Canis lupus familiaris: one gene and its partners. The protein of the gene in region 3 interacts with the protein of the main gene of each other region in a pairwise test. Links are inferred from orthologs where the notes say so. Each region holds a gene or a part of one and is shown on either strand. Other genes may lie near its edges.

Region 1 (5,934 bases), on a different chromosome or scaffold from region 3:
TGTTTTAGGTTGGCTCTGAGATCAGCTGGTGTGTACATATGGACATATATAAATGTGAATGGATTTACACAATAAAGAGATATGGGTATACTTACGGCACGTCCAGGACTTTATAATGTGGGAAGCAATAATGGAAAGGAACACAGCCCCTGGGATTGGGCCAGCCTGGGTTCAGATCAGAAGCTTTGTAATCCTAAGAAAGTTATGGCACCTACCTTATTGGGTGGTTGGGAAGATTTAATGAAATAATCTGTTTAAACTCTTAGCACTGGTCCATGATATATAGCAAGTACTTCGCAAATGTTACTCTTAAGGTTATGTGTGCTTTTGTCTTTATGCAAGTATGTGTGTCCATGTTCATGTGGTGCAAATTTGGGCATCTAAGGGAGGTAGAATATGTTTAAGAACAAGAGAGGGAAAGAGGAAGGATGTTGTTCACCTCTGCAGCAGGAGTTATAGCACTGGAGCAGACCTTTCTAGAGGGTGAGGGGTTTGCAGAGCAGCTCACAGAGGAGAGGGCTCAGCTTTACCAAGTGGGAAAAAGTAAGGGACAGCAAAGGGCCTCAGATAAGAGACTTCCTGATGAGCATAGAATTTATAAAAGTGGAAATTAATTGAAGGAGAACAGGCAACAGAATTGGATTTGATGTTGTGGAAGCCCAAAAAAACCTTCATAAAGAGAGATGAGAAAAAGAGTTGAAAATGGTTTCTGAAATTGGCATGTACTCAAATCAGGTCTCTGTGCTCAGAGGACAGATGACTTCATCTGCTGCATCCTAATGCTCTCCTCTGTTGTGAGCTCCATGCATCTTTTCTTTTTCAGAAATAACATGGAAAAATTTTGTAAAACATGTAATCCGCCACCACCTGTTATCTGGCGTCTTGGTCCCCTCTTAAGATATTCCCATGGAGCTGTAGCTAAGTGCTTTCTGCATCATAAAGAACTGTCATCCTTAAGTTGAAAGAAGAGATTTAGTTTAAAAAAAAAAAAAAAAGAATACCAGTTTCTAGTCCCAGTTCTGCCCCTAACTTACTGGGCAACTTGAAGGAATCTCTTGATCTCTCTGGGCACAGCTCATCTGCAAGGGAAGTTGATTGGTCAGCTTGGGTCATTATCTTTTGACTTCCTGCCATCCCCAGATGCAGTTTAGCTCCCTCCAACCATCTCCTCCCCTTAAAGCTGTATCACCATAGGACATGGTAGTACGGAGCACGGAACACCTGTCTCTTGCTGGCTGTGACTCCTGGAATGGGTTATTTAACCTCTCTGTGTCTCAGTTTCCTTATTTGCAAATGAGGGTAAAGAAGAGTATAGTGTATTACTGGCTTACTAACAGGATTGAGTTATATAGGTAAAGTAGAACAGTGCTTAGCACAGATAAGGGCTACTCTGGGGTAAGATTATCATGAGTATTTACTTTATGGAATAACTATGTAACTTTACATGAAATGTGTTACAGATAAATCAAGACATCAAAGTATTAGCATTATTTGGAGCTATGGAAAGATTCCAGCAAGCATGGGGCAGGGAGAGAGACTGAAACCATTCCTTCTTCAAAACCCTTCTGTGCTGTGATTTTTCAAAGGTGTACATGTACTACCATGATACGATTTTTTTTTTAATTTAAAGAGATTGAGCAAAAGAGATCACTAAAGGTCCGTCTCAAATGTACAAATTCAAGGACTGACTGCTTTTCAAGGAGAAGTACTTTTTAGGTGGCGGGCTTATCTCTGTTATAGCTACCGTTAATATGTTTGACCTTTTCAGCAAATCCTTATAAAGGTTTAAAATACACACAGTCACCTTGGCATGTTTATAAACCGAGCATGTTTCAACTTCTGGGATAGGAGACAAAATGAGAAAAGTGAAAATATCAACTGCAAATATTTAGCCTTAGGGGCTGGCTTATATTTTGTCCCTTCTAATCTTTTCCCAGAAATCAACTCAGTTACACAAAGGAACGATGGGCAGCAGAGGGTGAACTCCCGAGAAAAGCGCTGCTGCCTGCCAGGCAGTGAAAGCGTTAACAGGGCTGAGTAAGGCGATCCTTGAAATGAGTAAGACTCAGAGTTGTTAAAGTTTTCAAAGCGCGGCAGCGGCTCTTGGGGAAAAGGAAGCGAGTTGGAGGGAGCCTGGCCAAGCCGAGGATGGAGGATCGCGCTGAGCTGAACTCAGCTGGGGTTCTGTGCTCAAGGTTAGTGCCCCCCCACACACACACATCTCCCCAGAACTGACGCCTTGGGAGAGTTGTCTCAGGAAGGCAAGGCGCCCTCTCTCCTCCTGGTGTGTCATGTCTGCTTTGCTTACTGGCGGGCCACCCGCCCTTGGGCTGAACCTCCCAAACCTCTGGGGCTGCTGTGCACAATTTTGGCATTTGTGAGGGACAGGTGACCTCTTCCTGGGAGACCTCTTTCAACTGGACACCTCTTTTCAGACGTCTAAAAGGAAACTTTCTGGAATAAGGATGTTTTCAGACCACACACACACACACACACACACACACACATACTCACACCTGTATACATTGTTCCATCTTGATTTTTTTTGGTTGTGACCACAATCCAGAATTGGGATCTGTTTCAGATGAAACTGAGAACACTTGTCAAAGTAACTAAACAGGCTGTGTGACTTCACCCTGTGGGAGGAATCTTGTCTCTGAGGCTAGAATAATCAGGGGAGAGAAGGGGGGAGAAAAGAAGGAAGAAAGGGATGGAGGGAGGGACGAAAGGAGAGAAGGAGGGGGGGAAAAAGCTTCCAAGCATCCTGGCCTGTGGTTAAGGCAAACAGTTTTTGAAAATGTGTTTCTCATAGAACTTTTTCTCATATGTTGCTAGAACAAACTAATGGGGGAAGATGCATAATGAAGGAGCTAATCCTACATCTGCATGAGATTCAGATAAACTTGTCTATATAAACTTGTCTGTTCTGCAGATAACAGATAAACCTAGGGGAAGAAGGAGGACTAGATGACTTCACAGAAATTGCATTTTGGGGGGGCCCTTGATGTGAGAACTGAAACTGATTGGTGGGGAAAAGAACCCCCTTTGAGCCCTCAGGCCACCTCAACCAGCCAGTTTTGTCTCCTTGCTCTTGCTTCCACACACAGAAGCAATGAGTAAGTAGTCAGTCACCATGGAGAATGCTCCCTGAGATCCTCCAGCAGGCAGGAGTTGAGCCTCATACCTGCTAGCACTGAATCAGAATGAGTCATTTGAAACTTGGGTGCTGGAACAAAGTACTTGCAAACTGCCTTATGAGACACTGCCTCCATGTAGGTGGGATATACCTCTCAGAGCAGTCCCATTTTCTTCATCTCTTCCTTTCTCATTCACACAGGCAGGAATTCTGACACTCCCAAGAGACTGGATCTGCCTCCTTGGCTCAGCTCACCCTACCATGCAGACTTTGCCCCTCCAGATCAGGATTGGAGTTTTAAAATAAAATGGATGATTTGACGTTACTTGATCTTCTGGAGTGCCCCGTGTGCTTTGAAAAGCTCGACGTCACAGCCAAAGTCCTCCCTTGCCAGCACACCTTCTGCAAACCATGTCTCCAGAGGATTTTCAAGGCTCACAAGGAGCTGAGGTGCCCCGAATGCAGGACCCTGGTGTTTTGCAGCATCGAAGCTCTGCCAGCCAACCTGCTGCTCGTGCGTCTTCTAGATGGTGTGCGCTCAGGGCAGAGCTCTGGAAGAGGGGGCTCCTTCCGCAGGCCTGGTGTGCTGACCTCGCAGGACAGCAGGAAAAGCAGGACTGACCCCAGAGGTCTGCAGTCCAGCCCTTTCCGACTGGTGCCTAATATCAGAATCCACATGGATGGGGTAAGAAAGATCTTATTTGTTCGTATTGTGTCCCTTTGGAGGTTGGATTTGTGTATACCAGCAGCTAGGAATTATCTTCCTATAGTTACATTTCAATGAGTGCTGCCAGTGATTCCCCAGAGAGAAGTTTCTATGGGCAGGGATCATTTTACTGAAACTTGGTGGAATCCTGAGCCTATCTTATCCATCCAGAAATTCTTAGAATTGTTGAGGTCTCCCCGTGCTGCTTGTCTAGAAGGTACTAGCACAAAGAAAGCCTTCGTGATTATTTTTCACCTTTCACTTCTGCTATTTGAGGCCAAACCAGTGCACAGGAAATGTGCAGAGGAGGGGGAAAAAGAGAAAACAAATCCAGCTGCTTTTTGCTTTTGAGATCTTTGAGAAGTTAAATGTCAGGTTTTGTTTTAATTTTACCCAACTCCATCTTCCCACCTCCAGTCCTGAAGTGCTATTATGACAGTGCTCATTCATGATCTGTTCGAAGTTATCAAGATACTTGAACACCCAAAGACTGTGCAGGAGGAAAGCATATCTGTGGGTGGACTGATTGATAGGAAGGCTGGGCTGTGAAGTACAACACGTGTGTACAGGAGCCCTGCAGATGTCTAACTCTACAAAATGAATCAAACATACATAAAATGCACCTCGGTGGCTGCCATAACCACAAAGGCCCGGCAGTGGTGCACAGGAGATCATAGGAACTCTTTTGGTGTTTGGATAACGCGAATCATTCTATCCAGCCATGCGATTGGATCCTGAGGACTCTATCTGACCTTGCTGCAAGCCTTTTGTGGGAAGCTGTGTTAAGGACACATCTTGAGAGGAGGGACGCAGTCCTTGTGAGTCCAGCAGGATTATGTGCACTGTCACCCCAGGAGTCAGTGTGTCAGAGCAGACACAGAAAGCTGTGACCTGGGTTACTGGCATACTTAGAAAGTCAAGGCTGCCTTCTGTGAAGTCTTACCTAAAGTGAACAGCTTTTTTTTTTTTTACATTTCATTATTCTTTTTAATTTATTTATTTTTTTAATAAATTTATTTTTTATTGGTGTTCAATTTACCAACATACAGAATAACACCCAGTGCTCATCCCATCAAGTGCCCCCCTCAGTGCCCGTCACCCATTCACCCCCACCCCCCGCCCTCCTCCCCTTCCACCACCCCTAATTTGTTTCCCAGAGTTAGGAGTCTTTATGTTCTGTCTCCCTTTCTGATATTTCCCACACATTTCTTCTCCCTTCCCTTCTAATCCTTTTCACTATTATTTATATTCCCCAAATGAATGAGAACATACACTGTTTGTCCTTCTCCGATTGACTTACTTCACTCAGCATCATACCCTCCAGTTCCACCCACGTTGAAGCAAATGGTGGGTATTTGTCGTTTCTAATGGCTGAGGAATATTCCATTGTATACATAAACCACAGCTTCTTTATCCATTCATCTTTCCATGGACACCGAGGCTCCTTCCACAGTTTGGCTATTGTGGACATTTCTGCTAGAAACATCGGGGTGCAGGTGTCCCGGCATTTCATTGCATCTGAATCTTTGGGGTAAATCCCCAACAGTGCAATTGCTGGGTCATAGGGCAGGTCTATTTTTAACTCTTTGAGGAACCTCCACACAGTTTTCCAGAGTGGCTGCACCCTTTCACATTCCCACCAACAGTGTAAGAGGGTTCCCTTTTCTCCACATCCTCTCCAACATTTGTGGTTTCCTGCCTTGTTAATGTTTCCCATTCTCACTGGTGTGAGGTGGTATCTCATTGTGGTTTTGATTTGTATTTCCCTGATGGCAGGTGATGCAGAGCATTTTCTCATGTGCATGTTGGCCATGTCTATGTCTTCCTCTGTGAGATTTCTCTTCATGTCTTTTGCCCATTTCATGATTGGATTGTTCGTTTCTTTGGTGTTGAACAGCTTTAAATCTAACAGCAGAGTCCCCCCAACTCTGTTGTGAAGAGTAACAGTGGGTGGGAGGGTCTTCGCAGATTCCTTCCCGCACTGGAGAATAGGCTTATGATGTGCAGTCAGGACACTTTTCTAAAATACTCCTTTCAGTGGCTTACCTCCTTCTGTTCCCTACATCTCCAAGCTGCCCATGTAGTAGGGGAA
Region 2 (5,981 bases), on a different chromosome or scaffold from region 3:
CTAGGCTGCTGCCCCATCGCAGTGACTGTCCTCATCACAGTGACCATCATGTGGGCCCCGGGACTAGCATCCCGACTTCCCAATCCCCCCGCCTCCGGGGCCCGGTAGATCCTGGAGGAGAAGCTAGGCCACCCTGCACCCCGAGCCCGTCCGACAGGGGCTCCCCGTGTGGCCCTCAGCACAGCCTTGGGGACCCCAAAACCCCATGGCGCCCCCTGCCCGACTGTTTGGGGTCCCTGCTGCCGAAGATGCAGCTCATCACACACCTGTGGAGAAGGTGGGCCGTCAGCAGTATTTGAAAGGATTTTAGATCGTTTATAGGATCGTTTATACACGTTCACAGATGACACGATCTTGTCCCGATTGGGGGCATTTCCTTCCTGCCCCTGGAGAGACACTTCCTGAGCTGCTGCCAGGCCCTACACACTCCTTGATGTGTGCCCTCGAGCTTCGCCGGCTTGGTGTCACTGCGGGAGCCCTGGCTGCCCCCATGCCCCCCCCCCCCGCCCCGGTGCTGCCCCCTTGGACACTGCCCCAGATGCCTCCCAAATACCAGGGCAACCCCCCCGGGTCCCCAGGGTGCCACACTGGGGAGCCCACCCCCTGTGGCCTGCACTCAGCCTGCCACGTCCAGCCTGCCTTACGAGCTGGGGCCTGGGATCCCTGGTCTCCTCTGACCCTTCCCCCAGCCAGGCTTCTGCAGTTCTCCAATCCAGGCCAGCTCTGGAGGCTACCCCCTGTGTGGCTTTGTCTTGAGTAGATCCAGGTAAAAACTTTATGGTTGTCACTTCCACTTAGGCGGGGAGGAGGGGCTCTGCGTCCTTTCTTGGACATCTCGCCAGGGGCACAGACATTATTGGGTCCCACACAGGGTCATGCTGACTTGGTCCTTTGGGCCAGGTGGTGTCTGATGGGCATCTTTCTTGTAAAGGTACTTTCCTTTTTTTTTCTTTTTTCTTTTAAGATTTCATTTATTTATTTGACAAAGAGAGCGTGAGCGGGGGGAGGAGCAGAGAGAGAAGCAGACTCCCCACCCAGCCAGGAGCCAGACCCAGGGCTGGATCCCAGGACCCCAGGACCATGACCTGAGCCAAAGGCAGACACTTAGCCACCGAGGGGCCCAGTTAAGATACTATCCTATGCTCATAATGAACTGTAGCCTGGAGGAAGATCTTGGCACCATAAATATTTTCTTTCTTTTCTTTCTTTTCGTTCTTTCTTTTCTTTTTTTTTTTTTTTTAAGATTTTATTTATTTATTCATGAGAGACAGAGAGAGACACTGGCAGAGGAAGAAGCAGGCTCCATGCAGGGAGCCCGACGTGGGACTAGATCCCGGGGCTCCAGGATCACGCCCTGGGCTCAAGGCGGCGCTAAACCGCTGAGCCACCCGGGCTGCCCTGAAATACATTTTCTTACGTGTAGTTGGCACAGTAAAAAACATGAATTGTGGGGTGACTGGAAGAACATGGTCTCCCTAAAGCCAGGGCAGAAAAAAGGACTTAAAGGGTAATAGTAGCACGTGGAGGAGCCAGCGGATAAGAAACGGCGCTTGGTCCGCTAAAGGGGCGCAGCGACCCAGAGACCGCAGCAGCACGTGCGGCCAGCCCGGCTCCCCTCCCGGACCCCGGACCCCGGCCCCCGGCCCCCGGCCCCCGGCCCCCGGCCCCGGCCCCGGCCCCGGCCCCGGGAGGCCCCGCCCTCAGCCAGGCCCTACCCCCCGGAAGGCCGGCCTTTTGCCAGGCCCCTCCCCTCCCCTCCCCCGAAAGCCCCATCTCTCCCCGGGAGGCCCCGCCCCTCCGGCCGGCCCCGCCCCCAGCCGGGCTCCTCCCCTCCGCCCGGCCTCTCTCAGATTGGCGCCCCGCCCCCGCGCCCCCAGTCCTCCGGCCGGCCTCCGTCTGACCCGCCCCGCCCGCACTCAGGCCCCGCCCCTCCAGCCGCCCCCGCCCTCGACCGGGCCCCCTCCGCCAGGCCCCGCCCCCTAGCCGGGCTCCGACACCCTTCCCTGACAGGCCCCGCCCATCGGCAGGCCCCGTCGCCGCCGCCCGCCCCCGCCGCTCCGCCAGGCCCCGCCCCTCCATCAGGCCCCGCCCCGGTGGCAGGCTGCAGGGCGCGCGGGGGACTCCGCAGACACGGCTTTCGGACAGGTGTGGAGGGGGCGGGGGCGCCGGTGGTGGTCCGCCGCCGCTGGCGCTGCCCGGCCCGCCCCCGGCCCGCCCCCGGCCCGCCCCCGGCCCGGCCTGCAGCCCGGGCTCCTGCAGGCCCGCGGCCGCCCCGCGCGAGCGCCGGCTCTGGGATCCACTGCTCTGGCCTGGGGGCGGGGCCGGCGCGCGGCGTCATGCATATGCATGAGCGGCGCGGCGGCTCCATTGTGCCCTCGGAGCGGGCGGCGGCGCGATGGCGCGGGTGGCGGCGGCGGCGGCCCCGCGGCGGCGGGCGGCGCGGAGGGCGGGCTGAGCGCATGGAGCGGCGTGGGCCGGGGGCCTCGGCGGCGAGGGGCCGGGCTAGGCCGGGCGGAGGTGAGCGGGCCGGGTGGACAGGTGCGGGCGGCGGGGGCGGCAGGTGCGGCAGGTGCGCGCGGCGGGCAGGTGCGGCGCTCGGGGCCCGCGCTGCGGCGCCTCTGCCGGGCTCGGGCCGGGGTGGAGGCGGCCCCGCCGCCCACCTGCCGCACCTGCCGCGTGCGCGTCGTGCTCTCGGGCCCTCCGGCCGGCGCGCGGGCGGCCCTCACCTGAGCCTTTGTTGGGGTGGGCTGGAAGCCGGCCGGGCGCCCGAGGGGTGTGCGCGGCCCCGGCGACCTCCCGAGCCGGGAGGATGGCCCGGGGCCCTCGCCCCGCCTGGCCGCGCCGCCGCCACGCCGCGCTCGGGCTCGCCTCCGGGCTGGCTCTGGGCCGTGCGCGCCCACCAGCTGGGCGGCGTGGGGCCGCGGGGCCGCCCGAGGCCGGCGGAGCAGGCTGACCTTTCAGCCTCCCGCCGTTGTTTCTAAGGGGACACCCCTCGTCCCAGCCGCGCCGTCGCCGGGGCGGGAGGGTGCCCTCTCCCAGGACCCCCGTTTGCCTCTCTCCCTGCCCCGCTCTCCTTTCCCTCCTGCTTGCTCCCCTCCGGCCCGGATGCGCCCGTCCCTGCCCAGCTCTGTTCCTGATGGTTGCAGACCATCCACAGCCACGTCTGTAAGTCGGTTTCGCAGGGGCATACACGGAACGTGTGACTTGATCTGGGGGACGGTGGTGGATGCAGGGAGGGTGAGCAGACTCAGCCACCGCTTCCTGGGGAGCTAGAGCCCTCGGGCCTCCATCCAGGCTTCGTGAGAGGGGGGCCTGGCCTCCCCCAGCAGGTACTGGGCCTGAGGACTGGTCATGCCCAGGGGCTGGTTACAGGCAGGGGACAGAGGTCAGGGAGGAGGAAGGTAATGACAGGCAGGCAGGGTGCGCCTGGGGAGGACTCCAGGGACAGCCCGACTTCCTCACGAAGTGTCCACTGGCACTGCGTCCACTACAGGACTCAGGGTTTGAGCACAGAATGGCAGGTGTGTGTCCTCCGCTTTCCTAGGGTGGCTGCCACGTACCCATTGTGCACCCAGGCCCTTCGTAAGTGCTCGTTCCTGGGTGCTTTAGATGGGCTCCAGCACTTAGGCTGGTCGGTGTTGTGGCCTCACGTGGAGAGCAGCAGGACTTCCAGCCATCCAAGCATGTGAGTCCCCCCCTTGTGTCGTCCTGCCTCACTGAGCCACCATTTCCACCTTCTCCAAGCCCATCAGACTTGGGTGTCCCTCTGCTTGGACACGTGCCCTGGAAGCACAGGCTCCCTGCTGCCGGAGTGCCTGCCCCAGGACCACAGAGCAGGCGTGCCTTTCCGAGGTCAGGTGGCCTGTCATGGGGTGTGCTGCTCCTGGCTGACCAGGCGGCAGGGACGGAGGAGAGGTGCAAGAGAGCTGACCCACATTAACGTCTGCCTGTGGTTGGCACCCAGGAGACTGGGTGCAGCTGCTCCGAGGCCCTGGGAGGGGGTCTGAGTAGCGAGTTTCTGTAGCCGTCTTTCTGGGAGATGTGACCCAACCCAGAGAAAGCTCCAGGCTAACCACGTGCCAGGGCGGTTCTGCCGAGGGGTCCTGGCTTCCCGCTGGAGCTGTGGACAGCAGAGCCTCGGACCAGCAGAAGGGCCCCCGCCTCAGGCCTGCTCGGGCCTCCTTGTGCGCACGTGCACTCAGGCACACACGCACACACACACCAGGGCTTCTCCAGCTGTACCTCTCAGGCCAGGAAGTGAGAGGAGGGTCTTGCATTCAGAGCAGGGCTCTCCCTTTGTCGGGAGCAGAGGGCCATGGGGTACCCAACTTGGAGAGTGCAGGTCTCCCCAAGGAGGAGACCAGACTTAGTTTGGCAGGAAGTCACACACACACACACACACACACACACACACACACGCCCTGCACACCCAGACACCCATGCATGCAGTCAGCTCAGGGGGAACTGGAAATCTCTGTGGTCTCGTCCATAGCAGAGCAGCCTTTGGGGTGGAATTCCCCCGACCCATGTGATGTAGGAGTCGTCCTGGGGCCCCAGACCAGTAGCCTCTGCCTCCCCCACTCTCCACCTGGGGTCCCTGTAGCGGCAGCATCCTCACCCAGGCTCGTTAGGGATGCGGGTCCTCAGTTCCAGTCCTACAGTTGTGTGTGATGCGCCGGAGCTGGAGCTGGGGCCGCGGGAGTCCTCAGTGGTGCTCCCCCACCTGGCCAGGGGCTCGTCTTCCACCCACCCTTTGCTTCTGTAACCACAGAGTGGGCCTGGCCAACCCCACCAGCTTTGTTGTAGGGAAGGGTGGCCCTGGGCATTTCAGTGGAGAGAACAGGCCAAGCGGCGGCGGTTTTCTCATTAAACTTTTATTTTGAGGGAATTAAAGATTCACGTGCAGCTGAAAGAAATAACTGTGTGTCCTTTACCTGGTTACTCTAGTGGTGACATCTTATAATACGATAGGATAACGTCACACCGGGATGCTGCGTGGCTCCAGTCAAGATGCAGATACTCCCTCCCCACCTTCTGTTCACACCTGTTCCCTCCTCCCCACCTGGCAGTTGTGCTCTGCTTTTCATTCTGGGATTCCATCATTTCAGGAATGTTACATAAAGGGAATCCTACCGTGTGTAACCTTTGGGGACTGGCTTTCTCCACGCAGCGTGGTCTCTTGGGGCTTCCTGCCGCCTCCCCTCAAGCTCCCAGGCTGTGGGTGGCCCCTGAAGGGCTCGCCCCTCACCTGCAGGCCGTCCCCACTGACGCTGCCGGCAGCACACACACACACATTCCTGGGTGAACGCGTGTTTACATTTCTGGGAGATGAGTGTTCGGGAGTGAGTTTGTGGGGCCGGGCAGTAGCCGCCTGCTTAGTTTTACGAGAAGCCCCAGACTTTCCAGAGCGGCTGCACGGCAGTCCATTCCCAGTATCCCCAGGGCTGGAGCCGTCTATCCTCACTGCACTCCGTGGCGGCCTTGCTGTGCTGCGGAGCCTGGAGGGGCGGTGGGAGGGGCTCAGGGGGCTCAGAGGGCTCAGAGGCCTTACTCCACCCTTCCCGATGCCTCGATGGTGCCCCCCCCCCCCAGGCTGCCTCACTGTCCACACGACCTCGCCAGTGAAATGTCCCTCTGTCTTCCACCCATTTCCTGGGTGAGCTTTTTTGTCTTTTGAGTTTTGGGAATTCTTTATGTATTTTAGATACTAATCCTTTGCCGGGGACATGGCTTGTCCCTTCGTCCCATCAGCAGGGCCTCCCACAGGTAAATTTTCAGTTTTCCACTTTGAGGACTGTGCTTTTGGGGCACTGTTTAAGGACTTTCCTTAGCGCAAGATCCCAGAGATTTTCTCGTGAATGTTTCCAAAGGCTCTATGGTTTTACGCCGTACATTTAAACCTATGGCATGTTTCTAGTTAATTTCTGTGCAAGATGTGAAGATTAGGATTCTTTTTTTTTTTTTTGCATGCTGGAGTCCAG
Region 3 (5,814 bases):
ATAAATCCCCCACTAATGTGACACCAGTCTCATTAACTCCAGAACTGAACTGGATTTTTTTTTTTCTTTGAGAGGGAGAGAGAGAATGGGAGGGGCAGAGAGAGAATCTAAAGCAGTGGATGTGGAACTTAATTGCACAACCCTGAGATCATGACTTGAGCTGAAATCAAGAGTCAGATGTTCAACCCACTGAGCACCCAGACATTCCTGGACTGGATCCTTGTATGGATTGACGGGCAAGGAAGAGGACCCTCTGCAATAAAGAAGAAACCCTCCATTGGTAGATAACTGTCTTTGTCAGTTTCCAGATATTGAATTATTTTTAAAACCATGGCTAATCAGCTAGATGTCAATACAAAGTAACATTCTCCTCTATTTGAGCTTTCTGGGCAGCAAAATGAAAAATAAATTAATCTGAATAATCAAAAACGTAAAAGAGAAGTCCATGACTCTGGCATAAGTATAATTATAATTTTGATTGGCTTAATTCCTGATGATGACTTAGCACTGGTATAGAACCCAGTAGTGTGCTAGGCCTCGCCAGGAAGGAGCCAGCAACCCATATCCACAACAGAGCTACAGACAAAAGCTTTGTTGAGATTTTGAAATAACATGAAAAAGATCAGTCTACAAAAAACAAAACAAAACAAAAAAACAAAACAAAAACAAAAAGATCAGTCTACATTTATCTACTCTGTACTCAGATATTTGCATGTCCATGTTAAGAATTCTTAGTTAAGTGTTTAGTTTTGGCTACGGTTGAGGCAGAGGTGGGGATAGAAGACATTGCCCTCACTTATCTCTCAGGATTTGCACGTTTAGCTTCTGCCATCCTCTTCCCCACTATGAGCACACTCTAGACCAGAGTGTTTTGGTTTCTAAACCCTGGTTTTGTCTTCTTCCAGCAGTGTGACCTTGCTGAGCAATTTCCCTTCCTCCCAGGACAATTCTCATTTCAATGCGAGCATCTTTTCCAGCACCGATCTTCTGTGATTGTTCTCTGTAATTTCTTCAAGGCACCTTTCCTGTAAAGCTAAGCCAAAGATCAGCCTCGGTAGATCCCCCAAGTGTGCATTCTGGAAGAGACTATTACTAGCAAGGTTGCCCAAGGGCAAGCAGCTCGTTACTGCCTCCAAGAATCAGGTTTTTATCATCGGCAAAAAGGGAAGTAGGCAGGAAAGTTACAGAAACAGTAGAGCATTTTCTTTTCCAAATGAAAATAGCTCCACAGTCTTGTTTTTGGACGACCGAAGAAATTCTTGCCCGTTGTAAACAACTCAGAAAACAAAGGCAAGTGTAAAGAAGAAAACAAAAAGCAGGGTAACCCCAACGCACAAGAAGAGCAACAGTGATACCAGTGAGCAGGAGTAACATTGCCGGATGGTGTGTACAGCCAGTGGTTTTTCCCCACGAGCACCAACAGACCAGCACTTATGCTACACACGTGTAACACAGCCACATGCACACCGCATGTTCGTGTACATACGCACACACAGAGATTACTTCCACACGGGACAGGTCACACCACGAACACACATTTTCCCCCACGCGTGAGCCCTGGGAAGTGTGGTCAGACTCCGGGGACCCGGAGCACCAGCTATTACTCGGGGGCACCCCTTCGGAGTCGCAGCGGCCTCAGGCCCCCCGTCTCCAACTACAAGTCCCAGCAGTGGCGGGCGCGGGCGCCGACGGGAGGCCGGAGTCCGGAGAGACTACAAGTACCAGCAGGCTTGGCGCACACGCCGGGACTACGATTCCCAGGAACCTCAGCTCGCGGCTCGCGCAGAGCCCTCCGGGATATGTAGTCGTCGCGCGCACCTAATTCCTATTCATTCAGCCTCTGAAGAAACGTAAATTCCTCTCGCGGTCCACCGACGCGACTTCTCACGGGGCTAGCGAGGAGACGGAGCGCGCGCCGGGAAAGGAAAGATTCCAGGCCCCAACCGTGGCGCGGCCGGACGACGCGTGCGCATGCTCGGCGGTCGCCGGCGCCGGCGAAGGCGCGCGCGGGAGGCCTGGAGCGGCAGGCCCCGCCCCCTGGCCCGGTCCCCGGGCCCGGCGCGCCCCGCGTGAGGAGCCTGCGCAGACGGGGCGGGGCGGAGGGCCGCGGGGAGGGACTCGCGGCGCCTGCGCAGAGCGGCGGCTTCTCTCGCGAGGACGGACGCCATTATCGCATCTCCCCGACAAACACCACGAGAATTCCGCAGCCCACACGGTAATTGCAGCTCCCGCAGCCGGTCGCGTCTCCACCTCCCCCTTCCCGCGGGGCGAGAGCGAGAGCGAGAGCGAGATCTCCCCTCCTCCCTCCTCCCTGCGCCCTCCTCCGGCCGCCGCGCCCGCGCCCGCCGCCCCCGCCCGGGACGCCCTGCGCGGCCGCCCAACGGCCCGCCGCCTTCGGCCCCGCCGGCGCGCCCCGCTCCCGGCGCCCTCCCCGCCCGCTCTGGCTCCCCCGGCCGCCGCCGCCGCCGCCGCCCCCGCCAGCCGCCCCCGCCCCCCGCGAGGGCCCCGCGCCGCGCCCCGGACGGACCCGGGCACAGGCCTCCCCTGTCAGTCGGCGCCCGGGGCCCGCGGGCAGGCCGCCCTGCGCCCGGTGTGCCCGCCCCGCGGGGCCGAGGGCTCACGGGGAGGGGAGGGGAGGGGAGGGGAGCGCTCAGGCTTGGGGAGTGCGGCCTGGGGTTTGCCTCGAGACCCCCGCCCCGCCCCGCCCCCGGTGGGCGCCCTGCACCGGGCGCTCCTCGAGGACGCGGGGGCTCGGGGGCTGCCGGGGGGCTCGGGGGGCTCGGGGCTGGCCGCCCCTGGCGCCCTCTGCACCGGCTGCACCCCCCGGCCTCGCCAAGGTCGGGGTAGTCCAGGGGTCGCCCCAGGTGAGGGACCCGGGGGACCGCCCGCCCATTACTCCGCTTCCGGACCGCCCTGCATACGAGGATCTAGAGGATCTGGAGGATCTAGCGGCGGGGAGACCGCGGAACAGCCCCCGAGATGAGTCGTCTCTGTTTAGCTTCGTTCTCCCTTGTGTTGCACTAAAGTGAGAACATGTGCTCAGGATGTTGGATTCCGTGGACATCCCGTGGCCTTAGGGTCTGGAAGTGGCTGCCGTGCCCGCGCTCTGTGCTGTGGCTGGGCCTGCGGACCACTCCCAGGGCTTCTCATCGCAGCCATCTAGAGAGGTGACCGGCCACCGGGGTTAGGACACTCGTCCAAGACGCGGGGAGCCAAGGCCTTGAACTCCTCTCTCCGAGGTCCGTGCTCTTAAATAATAATACATCTAGCAGTCATGCACACGGTAAACCCTCAGGGGAAAACTTAGGTTGAAGAGCAACAGCCCCGTCTTACTCCTCAAAGACTTAACATCTTTTTGCTCTTGGGGAAGGTCTCCGTAGCTCTGGAGAGTACCTTGGTATTTTATTAGTCTTACACATTGTTGACATTCTGTTATCATACGATGATTGAGCCCTTCCTATCATATCCCACCTTTTCTATCCCCTTAATTCACTGTGTTCACTTGACTCAGATTGTTTAAGACCGAGCAAATACTGTTTTTCACTTCTACAGCTTTCTGTTTTTTTCTGTTGTTTGTAGTGGCCTTTCTTTTTCTTTGCATTCTCTGTTCCCATTGACTCTTTACGTTGTAAATTATCAAGGGATAAGGTCATCTCTCCAACTCCCCACTCCTCCCTCCCCCCCATCCTCCTCAGCCCTCTGTCCTCTTTTTCTAATCTGGATTGATTACTCAGGCCAGTACAAGTATTCTTCTGATATTTTCCTTTATTATACATCCCAGTTTGTACAGGATTCCATGTTTTAATCTTGGCTTTCTTCATTTCAATATCATTTCTGCCAAATAGTCTTATTCGTTTTGAGTAACTCCTTACAATCCGCTTTGGTGTTAGGACATTTCCAGAGTGCCCTAGGATGTGGAGTCTCACTGTGGATGTTCAGTGCTTCTGGGCGCTTGCCCTTCAGCTCTGGGAAATCCTCTTGTATCTGACAATTTCCCCTGCATTTACTCTTTTATTTTGATGATGGACATCTTGGATTGACCCACTGAATCTTGTGTCTTTATCCTCTTTTGTCATTTTCTTCTCTTTTTTGGGAGAGGGCTTCAAGTTATCTTCCAATCCTGTTTAAAATTTTTTATTTCCACAGTTGAAAATTGATCAAAAACTTATGTGTTCTCCCCGCCCCCCCCCCCCCCCCAGTAGCTACTTGTGAACATATTCTTGATTTTGAGGATACCAACATGGGATTTTTTTCAATTCTTTTGTTCTTTGATTTCTTATTTCCTCTAGTGCCATTGTTGCCTTTTAAAAAATATTGGCTTCATACTTCATGTGGCAAATATTCCTTAAATATTGGTAATTGTTGTTTAAAGCAAGAGGAAATGGGCAGAGAGCTCTGAGTCTGTGGGGCTGGTTTTGAAAATGTGTGGGTCTCCCCTCAAGTCATTGGGAACTTGTTACTGTGTGGGACTTTGAGTGCCAGATTGCAGAGACTTTTTCTGTGGGTCTTACAGCTTAAGACCAGATCCCTTTGATTTGGGATTGGTCTACCTGGTCTAGGGAGGGTGTGAGCAGAAACGGCCTGTGCTCTGCTGAGTGTTCTGGCCTGCCACAGGCTTACCCACTTTGGCTGTACCCACTCCTGTATGCCCCAGATTGTGGTTTCCTTTGCCTCCATTAGATCCTATCAGTCTCCCAGAAATTTGCAAAGTATCTTGTCTGTGTCATATTTTCTTTCTTGTGGGATTGTTATATGCAATTAAAAATTAATTTAATGGGATGAGCAGAGATCACCTTTGTGGCAAGTTGCTCCTTGTGAGCAGGAATTACAGAGCCCGTTCTTGTCTTTCTGCTCTGCTGCCTCTCTTGGTAATGGATGCCATCCGTCAGTGGAACCGATGCCCTGAGCATTGTCCCCGTGGTCATCTCCGCGTTGCAGTGTGGGCGGATGTCGTGTGTTCCTCCTGGAGGTTCTGGCTCTGCAGCCTTGGAGGCATGCCAAGCTCAGCTGGGGAAGGCCAACCATAGACAAGTGTAGCAAAGGTTGTGATTTCAGACTCTTAAGGTTGTCTTATCACACTGGCTTCTTATACCATGTCATTGTACTAAGGTAGCACTTCAGTGTGCCAAGTTTAAGGATCGCCTCTAGTTAAGCAGTGATTACTGTACATGAAGTGTAATCTTGGTGCATTTTAGTCAGCTGTCCTTCGAAAGTTGTGTACAGTGAAATATGTCAGCTATATCTGTCAGGGCCTAGCAAGGCTCACATGAGGTGGTTCATGGGCCAGTGACATTACCATCACTGGGTGTTTGAGAGAAAGGCAAACTCTCAGGCCCCCACCAGACATGGGATCAGAATCTGCAGCTTTGTAAACTTTTAATTTTGAGACTTTTAATTTTAGATTTACAGAAAAGTTGCAAAAATAGTTCACAGAGCTTCCCTGTTCCCGTCACCCGCTTCCCGTAATGCTGACTTCTTACATAACCAGATATCCATATGAAAATCAGGAAATTAACATCGGCACAGTACTGTTAACTAAAGTACAGACTTAACTGAATTTCGTAAGTTTTCCATTAATATCCTTTTTCTGTTTCAGGATCTAATCCAGGATCCCACTCTGCATTTAGTTGTCATGTCTCCTGAAGTCTCCAATCTGTGATCTTTACATAGCCCCAAAGTATCTCTCTAAAGATATTTATAAATTACAAAGGGAAAAATGGTAACTTCACAGTGGAAAAACCTACAAATACCACCTTAACATCACCAGTAATAAGACATATGATATCACGTACCCCAGTGTGATACACTGAGACA

What was found.
Region 1: the proteins of BANP (region 3) and SH3RF2 interact in binary tests that used the Homo sapiens proteins (3 or more experiments, as listed by UniProt). The two-hybrid records come from large-scale screens. The link is inferred for Canis lupus familiaris from reciprocal best matches to the Homo sapiens genes BANP and SH3RF2.
Region 2: the proteins of BANP (region 3) and ZMIZ2 interact in binary tests that used the Homo sapiens proteins (3 or more experiments, as listed by UniProt). The two-hybrid records come from large-scale screens. The link is inferred for Canis lupus familiaris from reciprocal best matches to the Homo sapiens genes BANP and ZMIZ2.

The regions. Positions count from the first base shown.
Region 1 is NC_049223.1:39,550,255-39,556,188, forward strand, and holds the start of SH3RF2 (E3 ubiquitin-protein ligase SH3RF2), read left to right. Parts: upstream 1-2,041; 5' UTR 2,042-2,195; intron 2,196-3,337; 5' UTR 3,338-3,443; coding exon 3,444-3,821; intron 3,822-5,934. UniProt on the Homo sapiens protein: Has E3 ubiquitin-protein ligase activity. Acts as an anti-apoptotic regulator of the JNK pathway by ubiquitinating and promoting the degradation of SH3RF1, a scaffold protein that is required for pro-apoptotic JNK activation.
Region 2 is NC_049237.1:14,025,534-14,031,514, reverse strand, and holds the start of ZMIZ2 (zinc finger MIZ domain-containing protein 2), read left to right. Parts: upstream 1-2,088; 5' UTR 2,089-2,145; intron 2,146-2,433; exon of another isoform or gene 2,434-2,517; intron 2,518-3,143; exon of another isoform or gene 3,144-3,165; intron 3,166-3,544; exon of another isoform or gene 3,545-3,685; intron 3,686-5,981. UniProt on the Homo sapiens protein: Increases ligand-dependent transcriptional activity of AR and other nuclear hormone receptors.
Region 3 is NC_049226.1:65,737,101-65,742,914, reverse strand, and holds the start of BANP (protein BANP), read left to right. Parts: upstream 1-2,091; 5' UTR 2,092-2,215; intron 2,216-2,816; exon of another isoform or gene 2,817-3,239; intron 3,240-5,814. UniProt on the Homo sapiens protein: Controls V(D)J recombination during T-cell development by repressing T-cell receptor (TCR) beta enhancer function. Binds to scaffold/matrix attachment region beta (S/MARbeta), an ATC-rich DNA sequence located upstream of the TCR beta enhancer.